4 linked regions of the Ovis aries genome follow. The protein of the gene in region 2 interacts with the protein of the main gene of each other region in a biochemical or structural test. Links are inferred from orthologs where the notes say so. Each region holds a gene or a part of one and is shown on either strand. Other genes may lie near its edges. The genes, in order: NDEL1, PAFAH1B1, NUDC and DCX.

Evidence for each region.
Region 1: the proteins of PAFAH1B1 (region 2) and NDEL1 form a complex in vitro, tested with the Homo sapiens proteins (3 studies listed by BioGRID). The link is inferred for Ovis aries from reciprocal best matches to the Homo sapiens genes PAFAH1B1 and NDEL1.
Region 3: the proteins of PAFAH1B1 (region 2) and NUDC form a complex in vitro, tested with the Homo sapiens proteins (3 studies listed by BioGRID). The link is inferred for Ovis aries from reciprocal best matches to the Homo sapiens genes PAFAH1B1 and NUDC.
Region 4: the proteins of PAFAH1B1 (region 2) and DCX form a complex in vitro, tested with the Homo sapiens proteins (2 studies listed by BioGRID). The link is inferred for Ovis aries from reciprocal best matches to the Homo sapiens genes PAFAH1B1 and DCX.

What each region holds. Positions count from the first base shown.
Region 1 is NC_056064.1:27,824,300-27,829,583, reverse strand, and holds the start of NDEL1 (nuclear distribution protein nudE-like 1), read right to left. Parts: upstream 3,716-5,284; 5' UTR 1-3,715. UniProt on the Homo sapiens protein: Required for organization of the cellular microtubule array and microtubule anchoring at the centrosome. May regulate microtubule organization at least in part by targeting the microtubule severing protein KATNA1 to the centrosome.
Region 2 is NC_056064.1:23,448,206-23,453,028, reverse strand, and holds part of PAFAH1B1 (platelet-activating factor acetylhydrolase IB subunit beta), read right to left. Parts: intron 2,205-4,823; coding exon 2,036-2,204; intron 159-2,035; coding exon 56-158; intron 1-55. UniProt on the Homo sapiens protein: Regulatory subunit (beta subunit) of the cytosolic type I platelet-activating factor (PAF) acetylhydrolase (PAF-AH (I)), an enzyme that catalyzes the hydrolyze of the acetyl group at the sn-2 position of PAF and its analogs and participates in PAF inactivation.
Region 3 is NC_056055.1:240,000,561-240,004,083, forward strand, and holds the end of NUDC (nuclear migration protein nudC), read right to left. Parts: coding exon 3,419-3,523; intron 3,346-3,418; coding exon 3,151-3,345; intron 1,898-3,150; coding exon 1,814-1,897; intron 1,721-1,813; coding exon 1,602-1,720; intron 1,176-1,601; coding exon 1,124-1,175; 3' UTR 899-1,123; downstream 1-898. UniProt on the Homo sapiens protein: Plays a role in neurogenesis and neuronal migration. Necessary for correct formation of mitotic spindles and chromosome separation during mitosis. Necessary for cytokinesis and cell proliferation.
Region 4 is NC_056080.1:123,686,336-123,691,158, reverse strand, and holds part of DCX (neuronal migration protein doublecortin), read right to left. Parts: intron 3,238-4,823; coding exon 3,115-3,237; coding exon of another isoform or gene 3,100-3,114; intron 1-3,099. UniProt on the Homo sapiens protein: Microtubule-associated protein required for initial steps of neuronal dispersion and cortex lamination during cerebral cortex development. May act by competing with the putative neuronal protein kinase DCLK1 in binding to a target protein.

The sequences.
Region 1 (5,284 bases), about 4.4 Mb from region 2:
AAAACAGGAAGGGCTGTTGAAAGCACCAGTGTGTTTACAAAAGCACTCGGACTGCACAGCCCAGGTAGCTGACCAGCTAAAGCACCGGCCCAGCAGGAGGAGCCTTCTCTGGCGAAATTAAACCAGAGAAGCTCCAGACCTGGGAGCCTGGGCATAGCAGAGGGCAAGGTTGTCACTACACTACAAAAGGAAGTGGATAGAGGGAGGGGGGATTCTTCAAAGGCTGTGTATCAAATGATGAGAAGGCAGCTTCCTTCCCCTACTGACCCTCCAAGAATGCGGCAGCCTGCCCTCCAGGCACGAGATCAAAGAATTTTCCTCAACAGAACCACATGACCTGGCCTGTCCACTTGATCACTCAGAGAGGTCCAACAGTCAACAAGCTCCCAACTCCCCCCATACACACACACACACACACACACACACACACACACAGGTCCAACAGTCAACAAGCTCCCAACTCCTGCCATACACATACATACACAGCCTCCAATCAGCTTTGAGTTCCCTGGTCATAAAAATAAACATTCAACTAGGAACCACCAAACACTCTCCAATGTGAAATAGCAAAATAACACAAAAGAAATTTAGGAGTAATGAATATAATACTGGGAGCAGAAGTAAGCTGGAAAGAGAAAGAACGTTAATAAATATCTTTAGAGAAATAAGGATATTATATGAATGTTAATTTCACCAAATATGTGATTAACCATATCAGGAAGATGGGGGAGCAATAATGTATTAGGTAAGAGTGCTGTGTCCTTACTTTTCATAATACAAAGTCAATAGATGATAACTAAAACAGAAAAAACTAGTCATAAAGGCACTTTATTTAGAAATAGAAACAACTAAAATAGTTGGAAATGTGTGTGGTAGGGAGAACTGGGAAGAGGGGAGATGAGGCAAGGAATTGCTATTCTTCAATGTAATCTTTGTAATTGCCTTAATAAAAGTGGATATGAAATTTAAAACAAATGGTATGACATTTATTAGAGGAATCTGGACAAATGAATTAAAACTGTGAATATATGTATAACCTTTTACCCAGCACTCAACTTATTAAGGATTTATCCTAAGGAAATTATAGAAGTAATATGCAAAGACGTATGTTCAGTGATGTTTACTGCAGCATTGTTTTATCATTATGCCCAAAACTGGAAACAACCTAAACACCCAGGAGACTCATTTAATAAATCATAGTATAATCCAAGCACTGGAATACTACACAGCTGTTAGGAAGGACAAGGAAGATTTTATAAATTAACATGAGATGATACTCAAGTGATACTAAGTGAAAAAAAGAGGGCTTCTCTGGTGGCTCAGTGGTAAAGAATCTGCCTGCCAGTGTAGGAGACGCAGGTTGAATCCCTGATCCGGAAAGATCTCACATGCTGCAGAGCAACTAAGTCTGCCCGCAACAAATATTGAGCCTAAGCTCTAGAGCCGGGTAACCACTAACTATTGAACCCGCGCACCACAACTGCTGAAGCCCATATGCCCTACAGCCCATGCTCTGCAACAAGAGAAGCCACTGCAATGAGAATCCCAAGCACCACAAAGAAGAGTAGCCCCCACTTCCCGAAACTAAAGAAAAGCCCACAGGCAGCAAAGACCCAGCACAGCCAATAAATAAACAAGTTTAAAAATGGTTAGAGAACAGTAAATACAGTTTGACACAAGAAATATTGTTTTAGAAGTCTAGTTAATTTCCAAAATATATAAAGAACTACTACAACTACCACTACTACAACTCAATAACAAAAATACCAAACAACTCGATTTAAAAATGGGCCAAGAACTTGAACAGGTATTTCTCCAGAGAAGTATACAGATGGCTAACAAGTACATGAAAAGGAGCTCTACATCACTAATCATCAGGGAAACACAAATCAAAACTACAACGAGATACCACACCCCCTGGGAGGAAGAAAAAAACCACCACCAGAAAATAAGTGTTGGTAAGGATGTAGAGAGATTGGAACCCTTGTACATTGCTGGTAGGAATCCAAAATGGTACAGCCACTATGGAAAACATTCTGAAAGTTCCTCAAAAAAGTAAACACAGAATTACCATATGATTCAGCAAATCCATTTGTGAATACGAAAAAGAATTAAAAGCAAGGACTCAAGTAGCCATCTGCACACTCGTATTCACAGCAGCATTATTTACAATAACCAAAAGGTGGAAGCAATCCTGTCCATCAGCAGATGATATAAACAAAATGTGGTGTCTATAGACAATGCAATATTTTTCAGCTCAGAGGGTAAAGTGTCTGCTTGCAGTGTGGGAGACCCGGGTTCAATCCCTGCGTCAGGAAGATGCCCTGGAGAAGGAAATGGCAACCCACTCCAGTACTCTTGCCTGGAAAATTCCATGGACAGAGGAGCCTGATAGGATATAGTAGGATATAGTCCATGGGGTCGCAAAGAGTCAGACACGACTGAGCGACTTCACTTTCACTTTAAAAAAGGAAGGCAATTTTGACACCTGCTACAACATGCATGAACCTTGAAGACATTACACTATGTGAAATAAGCCAGCCATCAGAGGACAAATACTGTATGGTTCCATTCAAGAGAGAGTAGAGTGGTAGTTGCCAGAGACGGGTGGGGAAGACTAGGGAGATACTGTTTAATGGGTACACAGTTTCACTTGGAGAAGAAAAAAAATCTGGAGATGGATCTTGGTGATGGGTGCATGTCAATGGGAATGTACTTAATGCCACTAAGCTGTATGCTTAAAAACTAATTTTTATTTCATGTATATTTTGTTGTTCTTGTTCAGTCACTCAGTTGTGTCCAACTCTTTGTGACCCCATGGACTGCAGCACACCAGACTTCCTGTCCCTTACCATCTCCCAGAGTTTGCCCATGTTCGTATCCGTTGAATCAGTATATTTTATCAAATTTTTTAAAAATTCAATTTTTTAAGTAGAACTTTATATACCAGTGTCACTAATAATCTCTGGGGCTGGAATTATGTAAAAATTTTCCCTTTCTCTTTGTTTATATTTTCACCAGTTACCACAATCAGGAAAAAAAGGTATCTAGTTCCATTTAGAAAATGAAAGTAACCTCACACCCTGAGAATGCCGTCTTACAGTTTACAAAACACTTTCACAATCATCATCCTGCTTAAGCATCACCAACATCCCAAAAAACAGAGACATTTTTGAACTGTGTAGACCAGAAAGGTTCAGAAGACAGTGAATTGCCCGTCAGTAAGACAAGGAGCCAGGACTTAATCACAAGCCCCAACTCGGTCAGCTCAGCAAACTTTCAAGCATCACACCAGCTGTGTCGAAGTCAATCCCAGAGAAGCCATCTCCCAGAGATGAAGCTCGCTCTACAGCCTAGAAAAATGTTACCTGGGCAGCTCACGTAACACACAACCAAATCAAGGTGATGAGATTTTAGGGGGGTAGAGGTCAAATGATCTGGTTTCAGGAAGCCACCCCTGGTACCATCCCTCACAGGGACATAACCAACTTCACAAACTGACCCCAGCCTCTGACAGTCCCCCACAATGGACAGAAAGGGTCTACCAGGAGCCCCCCACTCTGGCCCTGATCTGGCCCAGACCTTATCCAAGCTGACCCCCCAGTCCCCACCATCCCAACATACCTGGTCCTGTGTCCCAGGCCTCGCAGATCAGATCAACAGCAGCACAAAGTGGCTGGAGCTGAAGCAGCTGAAACAAAGTGGAAATCAACAGGAAGTGTGAGAATCACCTTGTGACAAAAGAGGCACGAAGACCGGAAGTGGGTTTGGGCCAGGAAGGCTGCGGCCGGCCTTCTAGAAGTGAAGCAACCTTGCAGCCCCACTGCTCAGCTGCTATTGAGCAAGACTTCAGGGTTGAGGAAGGAGAAAAAGAAACTCAATCCCTAACTCTTTAGCCAGAACTTCAAGCTTCCCCTTTGTCTGTCTCCAGCCCTGTATTAGAGGGGAAAAGCAAGGAGGAGAGCTTTCCCACATTAAGGGTAGGAGATGCAGGATCCCTGTTGATTCAGTGGTAAGAATCCACCTGCCAACCTAGGTTCGATCCCTGGTCTGCAAACCAAGATCCCACATGCCCCAGAGCAACTAAGCCCATGCTCCACAACTACTGAGCTGAAGCACTAGCGCCCTAGAGCCCTTGCTCCATAACAAGAGAAGCCACTGCAAAGAGAAGCGCATGGACCACAAGAGAGTAACCCCCTGCTCACAGCTAGAGAAAGCCCATGTGCCACAACAAAGACCTAGTGTAGCCAAAAATAATAAATAAAAGGTAGGGCTTCCCCAGTGGCTCACTCAGTAAAGAATCCACCTGCAGTGCAGAAGACACAGGAGACTCAGGTTCAATCCCTGAGTTGGGACAATCCCTTGGAGGAGGGTATGGCAACCCATATATTCTTGCCTGGAAAATTCCATGAACAGAGGAGCATGGTGGGGTACAGTCCATGGGATCGCAAAAGAGTCAGACACGTCTGTGAAACTGAGCACACAGGAGATGCCCAGAACCTGGCAAAGCACACCTGTGGCTTCAGAGAAAAAATGGGAAGTCAGAGGGAAGTAGCCTCCGCCTACCACTTTTGGTGGCAAGACCTTGAATGAGTTGCTGTGTGTCTCTGTGTCTCATCTTTGCAAAATGAAATGGAGGTGACACCAGTACTGACCTCATGGCATTGTTTGGGCTTAAATGAGATAATGTGTGTAATTGGCTTCACATACATCCCATTATTCCCTTCAGTGGTTGGTGGCATCCCCCCTCCTTTCTGCCTCTCCAAATCTGACCCACTCCTTAAGTCTTTGGCAGGTCATGCCACCCTGGTCTGGAGTCACTTCTCGCCTCCACAGTGGCTGCAGGTCAAATGTGTCACTGGGTCCCACCATGTCGGAGAAGCACCACGGTTAAGAACTACGACTGAGGCCCTTCACCGATAATTCCTTCCCATGGAGCTGTCTATCTCCCCAAGGTCACCCAGGGAGGGTAAGGGCTGCATGGATTTGTCTCTGTTTTCCCAGGAGCATCTACCAGAGCACTGGAAGTTAGTCCATAAATGTTCATGGACTTTTAAGATGCTATGAAGGTTTCAGACTGACCTCAGGGCAGCTCAGGATCATGTTGTCTCCAGCCTGGGGCTGCTGCTGCTGCTGCTAAGTCACTTCAGTCGTGTCCGACTCTGTGCAACCCCATAGACGGCAGCCCACCAGGCTCCCCCGTCCCTGGGATTCTCCAAGCAAGAACAACTGGAGTGGGTTGCCATTTCCTTCTCCAATGCATGAAAGTGAAAAGTGAAAGTGA
Region 2 (4,823 bases):
TTTTTGTTGAATATTATTTCTTTAAGCTGATGCCTTTTCAACTAAATCTACTTACCCAGTTTGCACTTCCCACATTTTTATAGTTTTATCCCTTGAGGCAGACACTATATGATCTCCATTGGGCATGATGGCTACTGAAGAAACATTGTGGTCATGGCCTAAAACACAAAACACAGTTACTATGTTAAACAATGTATCACCAAGAGCAATTAAACCTTAATTTACCATGAGATTTCATCAGGGATTTCAAGTATCACAGCTACTTTAAATACAAGGGAGTTCATATAAATTTAATAAGAAACTTGGATTTACACAAAAACATAAGGGACTGTTAAGGAATTAGTAACTAATAAAACAATTCACAATGAAATAAGTAGCCAGCTCAATTTACATTTCAACCTGCACAACTATTTTAACAAGTTATTAACTGAAGACCTATTAATGCCATACGGTGTTCATTTCTGCAAATACGTCCCAGCCAATAATGTGTTAAAATCACAGGTAATCGGTACCATCAGCATTTGAATATATTAACACATCGGATGTTTTTGAGCACTAAAAAGCAAAACAAAACAAAAATTTCCATGGTTGCTATTCTAAGATATAAAATAGAAATACGATTTACAGAGATGAATAGAATGGATCAGAAAAATGGGCATTTGGCTCTATGTAGAAACTAGTGGTTGAAAGCTTTTTGTGTTGATGTGCACAGGAGCAAAAAAAATAAAATATATTATTCATAATGCTAGTTAGCTATCCTATGGCAAAAAAGCCCCAGAAAATTCTCTTAAGTATCACATCATTTAAAGGAATATACAATGATTGGAAAGAACTCTTTAAGTCAGAGCAATAAGACACAGGCTACCTAACAAAACAAATACAGATTTTATAAAAGGATTCAATAAAACTCCTTTAACTGGTAAACTTCCCTAATGCACTTAAATTGGGGAGTGGGGGACATATTATTCAAATTACACCATCTATGTAATTGCATAGCTTTCTCAAGTGCTAACATCACTGCATAATGTATTTTAAAACAGTTTATTATTAACACAGTTAATATAAAATCCAAACATCCATATTTTATCATGTTTTAAAAAACAAAAATCCTTATTTAGGAACCACCTCCTATGTACCAGGTACTAAACCAGATGATTCAAGCATACAATCTCATTTTATCCTCACAAGCCTTATGGCTTCAATTCTTAATTCAATATTTAAATTTTATTAACCTTACAGATTAAAGAGGTTAAAATTTCCTAATGCCATAAGTAAACAAGTAGGACTCAGAATCCAGGTATCTGATTTCAAAGCCCACGCTCTTTCCAGAAAGCCAAACTGCTTCAGAAAATAATCTCCAGGACAAGGAGAAGATAACAATGAGACTACAGTGTATGTGGGATATTAAAAAGTGAACAAGGGAACCTGGGTTCCAGCTTTTACTGTATTTACTCTCTAACTTCAGTTTCCCAATTGAGAAAAATGAAAAACAGAAAGAAAAACCACCTCAGTAACTTCATTTTCTCTTTTTCTCAAGAACAGATAGATGCCCTAGCAGTTTTTCTCATCCAAAAATATTTGTGAAAGTAAGTATTTTATAACCACTAAGAGACACTTCCCCAGTGGCTCAGTGGTAAAGAATCCACCTGCCATGCAGAAGACACAGGAGACGCAGATTCAAACTCTGGCTCGGGAAGATCCCCTGGAGAAGGAAATGGCAACCTATTCCAGTATTTTTGCCGGAAAATCCCATGGACAGAGAAGCCTGGTGGGCTCCAGTCCACAGGGTCGCAAAGACTCGGATATAACTAAAGCGACTGAGCACGCAAGCACAAAGAGATTCTTAAACCTCGAAACAAAGAGACAACTCTCAATGACCATGCCTATCCATGGACTGTCTATATCATATGCTCCTACACTGGCACAGTAAGGACCGAATGAAGGGAACCTGCACACTGTAAGAAAACATTATCCTTCTTCTCCCTGCAATACTATGTTAGAGACCAATATCAAAATGCTGTCCTCCACTCCTTACCATGCATTGTTCTGATGCATTCAAAGCCCTGAAAATCCCATAGCTTAATGGTCATATCTGCAGAACATGAAGCCAGAAGCTTGCCACTGTGGTCGAATGAAATATCCTGTACAGAGTCTGTATGCCCCTTAAGAGTTCGTTCAAAATCTCCAGTCTCATAATCCCACACCTGTCAAGTGAACAGAAAATTGGTTAGCATCACATCATTCCTTTCTCAGTTCACATTTGCACTCGACAGGCCAGTCTGGCGCTATAGTGACTAACCGAGCAACTAACAAAGGATAGCTGTCTTAGAATCATCACATCTTCAAGCATAAATTGGTCTTTTCTCTATAGAGAAAAACGATTATTAAATAAACCTCTAAAACCACATTCATTAAGTATCCACCATATATCTAATCATGCTAGTGACTGCCACAGAACAGTCTCGTCTCAGCCTGACATCAGGCAACAGACAAGTTAAAAAGTAAATATAAGTGCCAAAAAAAGAAAAAAAATTCATGAGCCTGACGTGAATTTATATGTAGAATATTAGGGGAATGATGAAGGAATACCCAATTCTACTAGACAAGCAGAGCTCAGACATCTAAGAAGCCAAGGAAAGACTTCACAAGATGTAACTGTCTTTAAATAGCAGATTAACAGAAGCATATGGTCATTTTGATGTAAAAGCACTGAGCCACAGTCGCATTTTTAAAGAAAATAATAAACTCTCAAGAATAATTATTATTATAAACACATCTCAAGAACACACTGAACTTCTGTTCTGGTGGTCAAATGCTAGTCTTAAGTCTGTAACTAACACTAATTACGTACGTGCTCTAAAATCAAATGGCTGATTCCATTCTTACCATAATAAAATATATCTGTGATAGGGTGTATTTCAAACAATTTAAAGAAACTTAGAAAATGCATTTTGAAGTCTAGAAACAATTTAAACATCCAATAGTAGGGAAATTGCCACATAGATATAAGGAATCTATGGCATGTATACAATGTTACATAAAAAAACCCACAAAATTATACAACTATGCAAAAAAATACAAAAATATCCTCTAAAAACATTTCTTTTATGGAAAATTTATGTATGCTCCCCAAAACAAACATATAAAAATTTTACCATTTAAATGTTCAACTACTTCCACACTGAAGTGATTACCGTATGTTTAGCTTTTTTCACAGTTAATGTATTTTTTTTCTTTAATGTATTCTTAACTATACTGGGGGGTTTTTTGATGTTATCATAGCATTTTAGAATTTTAATTTTCAATTATTATAGTTTATAGAAATAATTACTTTTTATATATTGACCTTGTATCTTGGCATTCTGTTTAAATTCAGTCATAGTTCTAGCAAATTTCTGAAGAATCCTTGGGATTTTCTACACAGAAAATCATGTTATCTGTAAGTAACATTTGCAGGTAATAGTTCTTCCTTTCCAATCTGTATGCCTTTTATTTCTTCTCTACTGCATTGGCTAGCCACTCTAATACAAACGTGGATTTAAGTGGTCATTGATCCCTGAACTCGAGGGGGAAGAACTGCTTTCCACCGTTAAGTATTAATATTTTGTCCACTGTGGGTTTACCAGATACCTTTACCTTTTACCAGTCTATGGAAGCTCCCTCCCTAGCTTGTTGAGTTCTTATCATGCTTTTCCTGAAACTATTACGCTTTTTTAACTGATATGGTATATCACACTAATTAATTTTTAAATATCAACCAATCCTGCATTTTGGGATGAACCCTACTTGGTTATGACATACTAATTACTCCTTTTATGAACTGCTGGATTCAATTTGCTTATAATTTGTTAAGGATTTTGCATTTATGTTCATGAATGTTATTGTATCAGTCTATAGGGGTTTTTTTAAATATTATCTTTACCCATTTTGATATCTAATTGTTTCAACACCAAGAGTTCAGGTGAATACATTCTGAACGGTAGGTATGACCTTGAAGTTCACTTCCATTTCAGTTAACTTTGTTTCCTGCATTCATTAAAGAACACTGAAGCATCTTCCTCTAAACTATTAATAAATATACCCAGAACCGTGTCTCTTCATAAATGGTAAGCAAACATGGTAATGTAATGTTTATAAATGTTAGGAATTAAAGATAATCAATTTTTTCTCTACTGGGTATTTACCTTTTGTATGATTATAAAATAAATGCTCATGATTAAAAAATCTATAATGTACTGATATAAAGGCAATAAAAATATTCACTATCCTACCAATGGCATGATTTTTCCATTTTTTCTATGCTCTTTTTTAAAAAAAGTACAGTACCTGTGTATACATCATTAACCTGTTTTTCCCTCTGTGTCTTATCATAAGAATTTTTCCATGCCATTAAAAAGTTACTAGCAAGCATTCTTTTAGAAGTAATTCCTATTATTTTCTAAACAAAACGCAATGTTTTTCATTACTATACAAAACATTATAGTGAAAACATTTGAATACTGAAAAATATCCATCCTCATTCTGCAATATTTAGGTCAGACAGTGATGGTTGAAAAAGAATTTTGAGTCAAAAACTAAGTTTTTTAGCCCTTCATATATTGTGCTAAAATTGTTCTCCTGTAAGACTGTATCAAATGTAATTACAATGCCTGCTTCATCAAATTCTTACCACAACTGGGAATTCTCATTTAAAAAGTAAAATATTGGGGGCCTCCCTGATAGCTCAGTTGTCAAGTATCCACCTGCCAACTCAAGAGACACAGGTTTGATCCCTGATCCAGGAAGATTCCACAGGCTGTGGAGCCAACCAAGTCCGTGCGCCA
Region 3 (3,523 bases), on a different chromosome or scaffold from region 2:
GGCCTCTGGGGCCAAAGTTTTTTTGAGCCCCATTATCTAAGCTCAGCCTTGGGAACCACTACTGGCATTCCCAGAAAAAGGGGTAAGTTTGATAAACAGACAAAGCCAAATACTGCATAGCTGAAGTCTTTAACAAGCTATTCTGAGATGCCAAAAGGACACATACGCTGTGTCCCAGAAATTCAGGAGTCACCCGTGGCTCATAGGGCATAGCACCCTGGGCAAGTGAACCCATTCGTCTTGTTACCATAACCTCTATGGCACTCTGCACTGTGACCTGTACTTCCTGCCAAAGCGGGGCAAGGGTCAGCTCTGGTGGCTGGACTGGGGCAAAAGAGAACACCTCTCCAGCCTCAGTGGCTCACTCCTGAGAAGCCCTAAAATCTGCAAGGGTCCAGGTCAAAGACACACAACAGGCTCCTTTGGGCTTCCCCCTGCCTTCCCAGCCAGATCCCCACCACACACAAAGCCCATCTGAGGCCTAGGCGGTGCCCCTAGGCTTTGCTGCTTGCTCTCTGCCTCTGGGAAGTAGTGTATAGTTTTAGAAACACTTGCTCCAGGACTAAAGGACAGACCCAGTGCAGTGGGAAATTGTCTCAGAGATGAAAATGGAAATCAAGTCAGGCTGGTCTTAAGTGCTGCTGAGTCATGGGCCCCTTGGAGAATCTGACATTGTTTGGTGCCTATAACCAACCCCTTTTGTTCAAAATCATACACAGACTAAAAGCCTTGTCGGGATCCTCTATTTAAGTAATGAGAAACTGAGCCCAGGGAGAGGCAAAGACTTGCCCTAGATCACACAGCAGAGCCTGGGTGAGCAGTCAAGCCCCCAGGTCACAGCAGCAGTCCTAAGAGGCCTGAACCCCAGAGAAAGGCCAGAGGGAAGAGAAGACGTGAGTGGAATTGGGTAAATGGTTTTAATGTGTAACAGCAGGCCAGCTGAGGAGGACAAGACCCCCCCCCAAGGCCCCAGCCCTTCTCCCATGATGGCCTGGGACCTGTGTGTGCCAGCCAGCCCCGTGCCTGCCCTGGCCCTGTGGCCCACCAGTCCCAGGGAGGGTGGGAGAGGAAAGTGGGGAGCCGGGAGCTCAGCCTAGAGAGTTCAGGGGAGCAAACACAGGGGCTAGTTGAATCTGGCCTTGGAAAAGTCCATCTCTGGATGCTGATCCATGAACCTGCAGAGACAAAGCAGGAAGGTGAGACAGGCCATCCGTCTCCCTAAATTTGTCCCTTTCTCTCAGCCTCCAACATGAGGTCTCATCTGTTTACAGCTCTCAGCAACCCGGAGCCATGCCAGACAGGAGTGGGGCCCCCAAGGTCTCCCCAAGGCTGGATGCTGAGGTGCCAACACCGGCACTGCTTTTTCTGTTGGAAACTGTGACCGCCTGTTACCCTTTCCTATCCTGTGGTGGCCTTGCCCTCAAGATGACCTCAGTAAGTGATTAGGGGAGGCAAGCCAAGGCTATAAAGCCATAAACTTGGCTGGCTCATCCTGGAAGGGGCGGGGCAGCTCCTGTGTTCTGCTCAGTAAACACTTGCCACTGTCACCCAGGTCCCAGCCGTAGACACCTCCCCCAAACCCCCATCTCTGCATCGCTCACTTCTTCAGAATCTCCTGTTTCTTCTGCTCATCGGAGGTAGGCAGCCCCATAGACTTCTGTCTCTGGTCGTACATCATCTTCTCCACCATGCTACGGGTCTCACTGTCCAGGTCTGACAGCTGGGGGCAGACAGTGACAGGGTGGGTGAAGGCCTGGGGCCACCCAGGCCCCAAACCTCCCGACCGCAGCTCCTCCAAGCAGCCTGGGCTCACCTTGGAGTTCTCGGGGTTTATCTTCTTAGTATTGATCTCGGGGTCACTGGATACCAAGCGGCTCCACCACTCCATCTTGTTAATCTGAGAGGAAGAGGAGGGCCACCCGGGGACGGGTGGTGGCTCACTCTGGACCCTGGTGACCACCCCCCAGCTCTTCCAGAACCAAACTCTCTCCCAGCCACATCCTGCATCAGGGACTTACAAGGCCTGAACTGGGACCTAGGGGCAGAGAGGCAAGACCTCTGCCCTCCCCGGTGGCTGGGGGAGACAGACACGGAGACAGTCAGCATGATAACGGAAAGAATAAAGTACAGAGGGAGATACTCATCAGGTGGAGGGAGAGGTTCGGATGACACACAGGGCTGGGCCTTAAACGACACGCGTGAACCACGTTAAAAAGCAGGGAAGGACATTCCAGGTGGGAGGAAATGCAAGGGCAAGGGCACAGAGGGGTGAGTGAGAGGCAGCCAAGGGGGTCAGGTAGGCTGGGCCAGGCAGTACATGCCATGGGACTCTTTCCTTGGACCCTGGCGCTTCACAGAGCCCATGTTCACTTACTGGGGTCTGCATCCCAGTTCTCTGAGAGGGGAGAACGCGGGCTTCCAGAGGGGCATAGCTTTCTACGTCTGGTTCACTGTTTTCCCTCCAGCACTTAGAACAGTCTCTGGCATGAGTAGGTGTTCAAGTATTTGCTGAACTGAATGCTTGTATTGATACAAACCTAATGGAGGGACTTCCCTGGTGGGTCCAGTGGTTAAGACTCTGAACTCCCAAGGCAGGGGGCCCAGGTTCGATCCCTAGTCAGGGAACTAGGTCCAATGTGCTGCAACTAAAGATCCCACATGCCACAAGGAAGATCCCGCACATGGCAACTAAGACCCATAATAAAAATTCAGACCCAAAATAAAAACCAGAAAAAAACCTAATGGACCTGGAGAAGGAAATGGCAACCCACCCCCGTATTCTTGCCTGGAAAAGTCCATGGACAGAGGAACCTGGCGGGCTGCAGTCCATGGGGTTACATGACTGAGCATGCATGCATGAGGGTGGAGGGAGATGGGCTGGTACGAATAAGCTGGTAGAACAACAACAAAAACCTAAGGGAAAGGAAAAGGCTTTGGTACTAAAGACAACCCGGATCTTTAACTCCACCCTCTTCTAGAGGCAGAAGTTGGGCAGATCTCTTGGGCTGCCCTTTTTCTGATTCTAAAATGTGGCAGACCTACTATCAAAGTCTTATTGTGGGGATGAAATAAGATATGCCCATCAGGCCCCCAGCAGGGCCCCCAAGTTCAGAAACAGCCAATCAGGACAGAGGGCGGGGCCTTTCGCACCTTCTCCAGATGCACCGTCACCACCTTGCCGTCCTCGATGAGCCACGAGCTCTCCTCCACCTTCACCTCGTTGTAGAGCTCCCCGTCCACGATCGCTGGCTGTCCCTTGAGCCCCACCCGGAGATGCCGCCGCTGGATGTCCACCACCACGTCCTTCCCCTTCAGCCGGAAGTTCACGCGGAAGGGCACGGCCAGCTGCACAGGGCAGGAGCAGTCAGGGGGCGCCCCAGGCCAGCGCCCTCCCTGCCGCCCCAGCCCCCACACTCACATCCAGCTCCGACAGGGTCTGGGTCCAGCGGTAACTGGGCAGGTCCGCCCCATTGCCGAGGTTGGGCTTCAGTTTCCCTTTGTCCTTCTCATCCTCCTCCTCCTC
Region 4 (4,823 bases), on a different chromosome or scaffold from region 2:
TACTCTTGACCCTAAACTCCCTTTTACCTTTGTGGGCTGAAATCATGTGAAGGCCCTAAACACATCATCTAAGATGAGTGCAAATGTTCTGAAAATTGCCAGAACATGAAGGCTGGCTAGATTAGAGTTTGACTTCACTTATGTTCATGAACTATCTGAAATGAAGATTTAAATAGTCTCTACTGAGGATACCACTTTAGGTGTTTTTGTTTGTTTGTTTGTTTGTTTTTTACTGGTAAGAAACAAGGGCTGTTAATAATTCTGATACCAAGTAAGGTCCCATTTTTCCTACCTCAAATTGGTTACTTTGTTTATCTTGTATGTGTGAGTGCATCCTCATTCCTTCTCTTTAGCAAGGGACTTTTGAAAGAAAGAGTTCAAGACCTAAAAATAGGTCTTGCCTGTTTAAGCCTAGGTTGGGATCTATTAAAACTCAATTTAATACATGCTCATTGAGTCCTAAATGCATTCCTTCTCTGTCTCCAACACATTATACTCAGTGAGGCGCATCTATTTTAGAAGGGAAATTCTGTAGGTAGCATGTTGGAGATCAATTATTTGACGTATGTATAAACTGTGTTTAATTACAGGTAGTCGTATTCATGTGTGCTGGGTAACCCAATTGGATAGTCTGCAAAGAGAATCTACTTACTTCAAACTTTTGCCACCCCAGCCTTTCTAGCTAATGGATTATGTGATGGCTTAAGAACAGGCCCACAAATTCTCAGATATCTTTCCCTTCCAGAAATGGAGGCTGCAACCCCTTCCTTGAATGTGGGCTGATCTTAGTCACTGCTTCCCAAAAAAAGGCTAAAACAGAAGTGACAGTATATGGCTTTGGAGAACAGATCATAAAAGGAACCACATCTTCTTTCTTCTTCATTCTCTTGAATCACTGTCTGGAAGAAGATCCTGCCAGTGGCCATCTTGGAAGTTAATTCTACCATCCCAGTTGTGTCTTCAAATGACTGCATCCCCTGACACCTTGACCTCAACCACATGACAACTACATGAAAGATCCTGAACCACCCGGCTAAACCACCCCAGAATTCCTGACTCACCAAAAACGTGAGATAATAAATGTTTGTTAGTATGTTTTAGGGTGATTTGTTTTATAGCAAGAAATAAGTAATACAGGTTAAAAATCCCAGAAATAGCCAGTGATACTCTGAAAAATTGATTAGCTAAGTGATTATTGCCAGGTTTTATGAATATTTTTATTCATGTATGTATTTGGCTATACTGCACGGCATGTGGGATCTTAGTTTCCTGACCAGGGATTGAACCAGTGCCCCCTGCAGTGGAAGGGCAGAGTCTTAACCACTTGGCCACCAAGGAAGTCCCCAGACTTCATGAATCTTGATCAAGTGTTTCAAGTACATTTTTTTGCAAGGCCCTGCTTCGAACCTTTACAAACAATTTCATTCTCAATCCAAGTGTTAAAATCTAAGTCTTTGTAGTTTGAGCAATATGAATTTGCTTACATAGTTTCATGTGCTATTATGTTTAACCAAAATATCACAAAACAGCTGTATTTTTAAAAGTTCCTTCAGCAAGTATTACCTACAGGTCTACTGGGTTTCTAGCACTGTGCAGGGTGAAATAGGTGCTCTTGTGCTTTACAAACACTGTTAACATCTACTAGGACAAAGGTACTGTGCTCAGCACTAAGAATACAAAAATGAACGTGACACCTTGCCCTTGAGGGACCCAGGATTTGGTTGAGGAAGTAAATACATACAAGCAAATACATACTTTACAACACAGCTGTGACTATTACCCCAGAGATATGAACAACATGCTATGATATTGTGGAAAATGGAACAACTATTTCTACTTGAGGTATTGAAGGATTAATAGTTTTCAAGCAAAGAAGAGTGGTGGGTTTGAGGGATGGCATTCCAGGTGCAGGAGAACAGGGTATGCAAAGACATGAAGGTATGAAAAGCCTGAGTTGCCTCTTCACAGTTGGGTTCCTTCTTCCTGAGAATAAAGAGATGCCCAGTGATAGGCATGGTAAGATGAGGCCAGCAGGACCAGCTGTTTTTCTAGGCCACGGACATTTCAAAGCCAAGAGAGGTTGCTCAAGCTGCCTCAAATCGAAGATGTGATAAGGAGTGCTTTTGTTCTCTGCCCCAAGGCTCTCTGGCTAGAAGAATTCTCATGGTGTACCCTGAGCTTTGGGAGGATAAATGTGTAAGTCTTCCGGATCATAGAATTTGTTATACATGAAGAATTCAAATTGTCAGTGCATGAGTCTACTGAGCTTCTACACTTGGACTTCTGTGGCCCTTTTGCTTTTTAGATCAGTGCCACTTAAAATGTGGGTGCAAGGCCTTGCACCAGAATGTAAACCAACACACTGCTGCCTTTATCAGTAAAATCATACTATGAAAAAAGAGCTGGCTGAAGTAAATGGTTTGCTCAGTGGCATGATTTACATTTGGCACCAGCTCCAGTCTCTTCACAGACTGATAAATAGTTCATGCGTCAGCAGTGATCCCTAGACCCCTAGATCACATTTTTTACATCATGAACTATCCACTAAATAAAATCCTATATATCAAGTCTCTTTATTTCCTTTGGGAACCTGACCTATATGTCCTTTACTCCTGTGAGAATGATGCAGTTTATTTTGTTTCCCTTTTTGTTTTGACTTCTAAAAAATTCAAAGTTACATTTAAAGCTCAAGGGCATCTACCATGTTGACACTTTGAGGTAAGTAGCTCTTTTTTTTTAACCTTCTTGTTTTTGATTCTGATTTTCTATTCCAAATTTATGTTTGACTTGATTATATCACTGACGATGCATTTGCTGGATGACGTTGAGAATAATGGCAATGAAGAGAACCATAACAAACAGCATTACAGCAAGCATGGAAAGTGGGCCAGATTTCTGGTCTGTACCCATCTGAGTAGAATCGGGGTTGTAGCTGTATCTCCATGAGGCCAAACAAATTGAACTGGTTAGTCTCTGAATGGATAGGATTGGTCTCACGGAGACACAGTGGTGTTCATGAGGAACTCATTCCTCTGCATGCAGAGGGTACTGCCCTCCATAAATGAAGTCAGCGTGCACAGTTAGGAGAAGAGCACTCACCGTCTTGGTCGTTACCTGAGTCAGCTGGAGACTTGCTCCGGCGCGTGGGGCCAGGGCTCTTAGCTGAACTCTTCTGAGGTGTTGGGGATGCCTTAGGGCCAGCTGTGGCTGATGGGTTTCCCTTCATGACTCGGCATTCTGGTGGAAAAGGACACAGATGGCTTAGTAGAGCTGGGGAGAATCAAGACTCAGCATATTACCAACTTCTGGAAACTGGAATAAGCACCTCATGCCAAAGCACTTCATGTCTCAGGACTACAAGGTGGTCCTCAATGTTTGAAGGAATGATGGCTCTGGAGAGAGAGGCAAGGGAGAAACTTTCAAAGGCACCTGGGCTAAGCCAGATGTTTCAACTCCTGGATCATGGAAACAAGGGCAGGAGTTGAAAAGTAGTCCGAGCAGGTAATTAAATAGTCAATGGTCAATCATTTTTGGACAACTTAGTCATGGCTCAGAACAGCACCTGTTGACAAAATTGATTTCCTTGGAGAAGAGATTGACAGCTCAGAGGTTGCAGCCACACAGATGAAATATTCATGAATAATTTAAAGGAGGGGGTAGGCGCCACTATTTATTATTCATCACGTCATTTATTGCAATAGGCATATTAAGGACGCCATGTCATTTTATAAGTAAGCAATACTACCACCACCACCACCACCTTGCATTTATAGAGTTCTTTATGATTGTCAGTCTATCTCATCATAATCCGTTCTCCTGGTTTAATGAATAAATGGACCAGTAGAGACTATGCCACTCATGACTTACAGAGAGAAAAAGGCCTTGGGTGTGTAGGAGAGTCTGCCAAATGTTTCTGCTACTCCCCCAAGCTCAGTCTGACATGTTTGGAGTACCCTTTCTATGCAGGTCACTCAGCATCCCTACCATGGTAATTTGGGACACTGATGGTGCTAGTATGTTAGGAGGATTATTATAATCATTTTGCTGATGAGAATGCAAAGAGCTTAAATCTCTTGCTTAGAGCCACAAAGGAAGAAAACAGCAAATAAGGATGCACAGTCAAGCTTCTTGAGTCCCAGTCTAGAGCTCTTTCCACTATCTTTCTCCAACCTCATGTGATCATGCTCAAAGTGGAACCAAACAGCTAGGCACTGGGTTATCTCTTCATTGGACACCACCTCATCACCTTCTACTTAAAGACACACCAAAAATATTGGTTCTCTGAAAGATTAGGAGATCTTTTCTGGCATATTAAGCTTTGGTGGAAACTGAATTAAGCAGAAAGCTCATTTTTGTTTTTTGTTTTTTTACTTCTTGTTTTGATTGACAAACTTTAGTGATCACTGTCCAGAGCTGGAGATATACAAGATACAAGAAACTGGACAGTCTGGGATTTGTTTACCTATTATATGGTCATCTGCCTCTTCTCAAAGGGAACACAGCAGAAATGCCACCTCTTTCAGGGTCCTTGTCACTTGAGCTGTTTGTAAAGTCTGTATTAGTGCAACTTGATATTTTCCCCATACTTTTCTCCTCATGATTGGGAAATACGTTTTGAATGTGTTTTTCCGTCAGGATCATCCCCTAACTCTGTGACTGTGTGAGCTAATTCACCAATAACTTACTCACAGAGCTTGGACTCAAGTAAAGGGAGATGGGCAGATGTTCACCTCCTTCCTGAGATTCACAATCTTCTGGAATCTTGAGTCACAAAGTGCGAGGAATGGGGCAGTAAGCCAGGAGGTAGGAAGAGGGAAAATGTT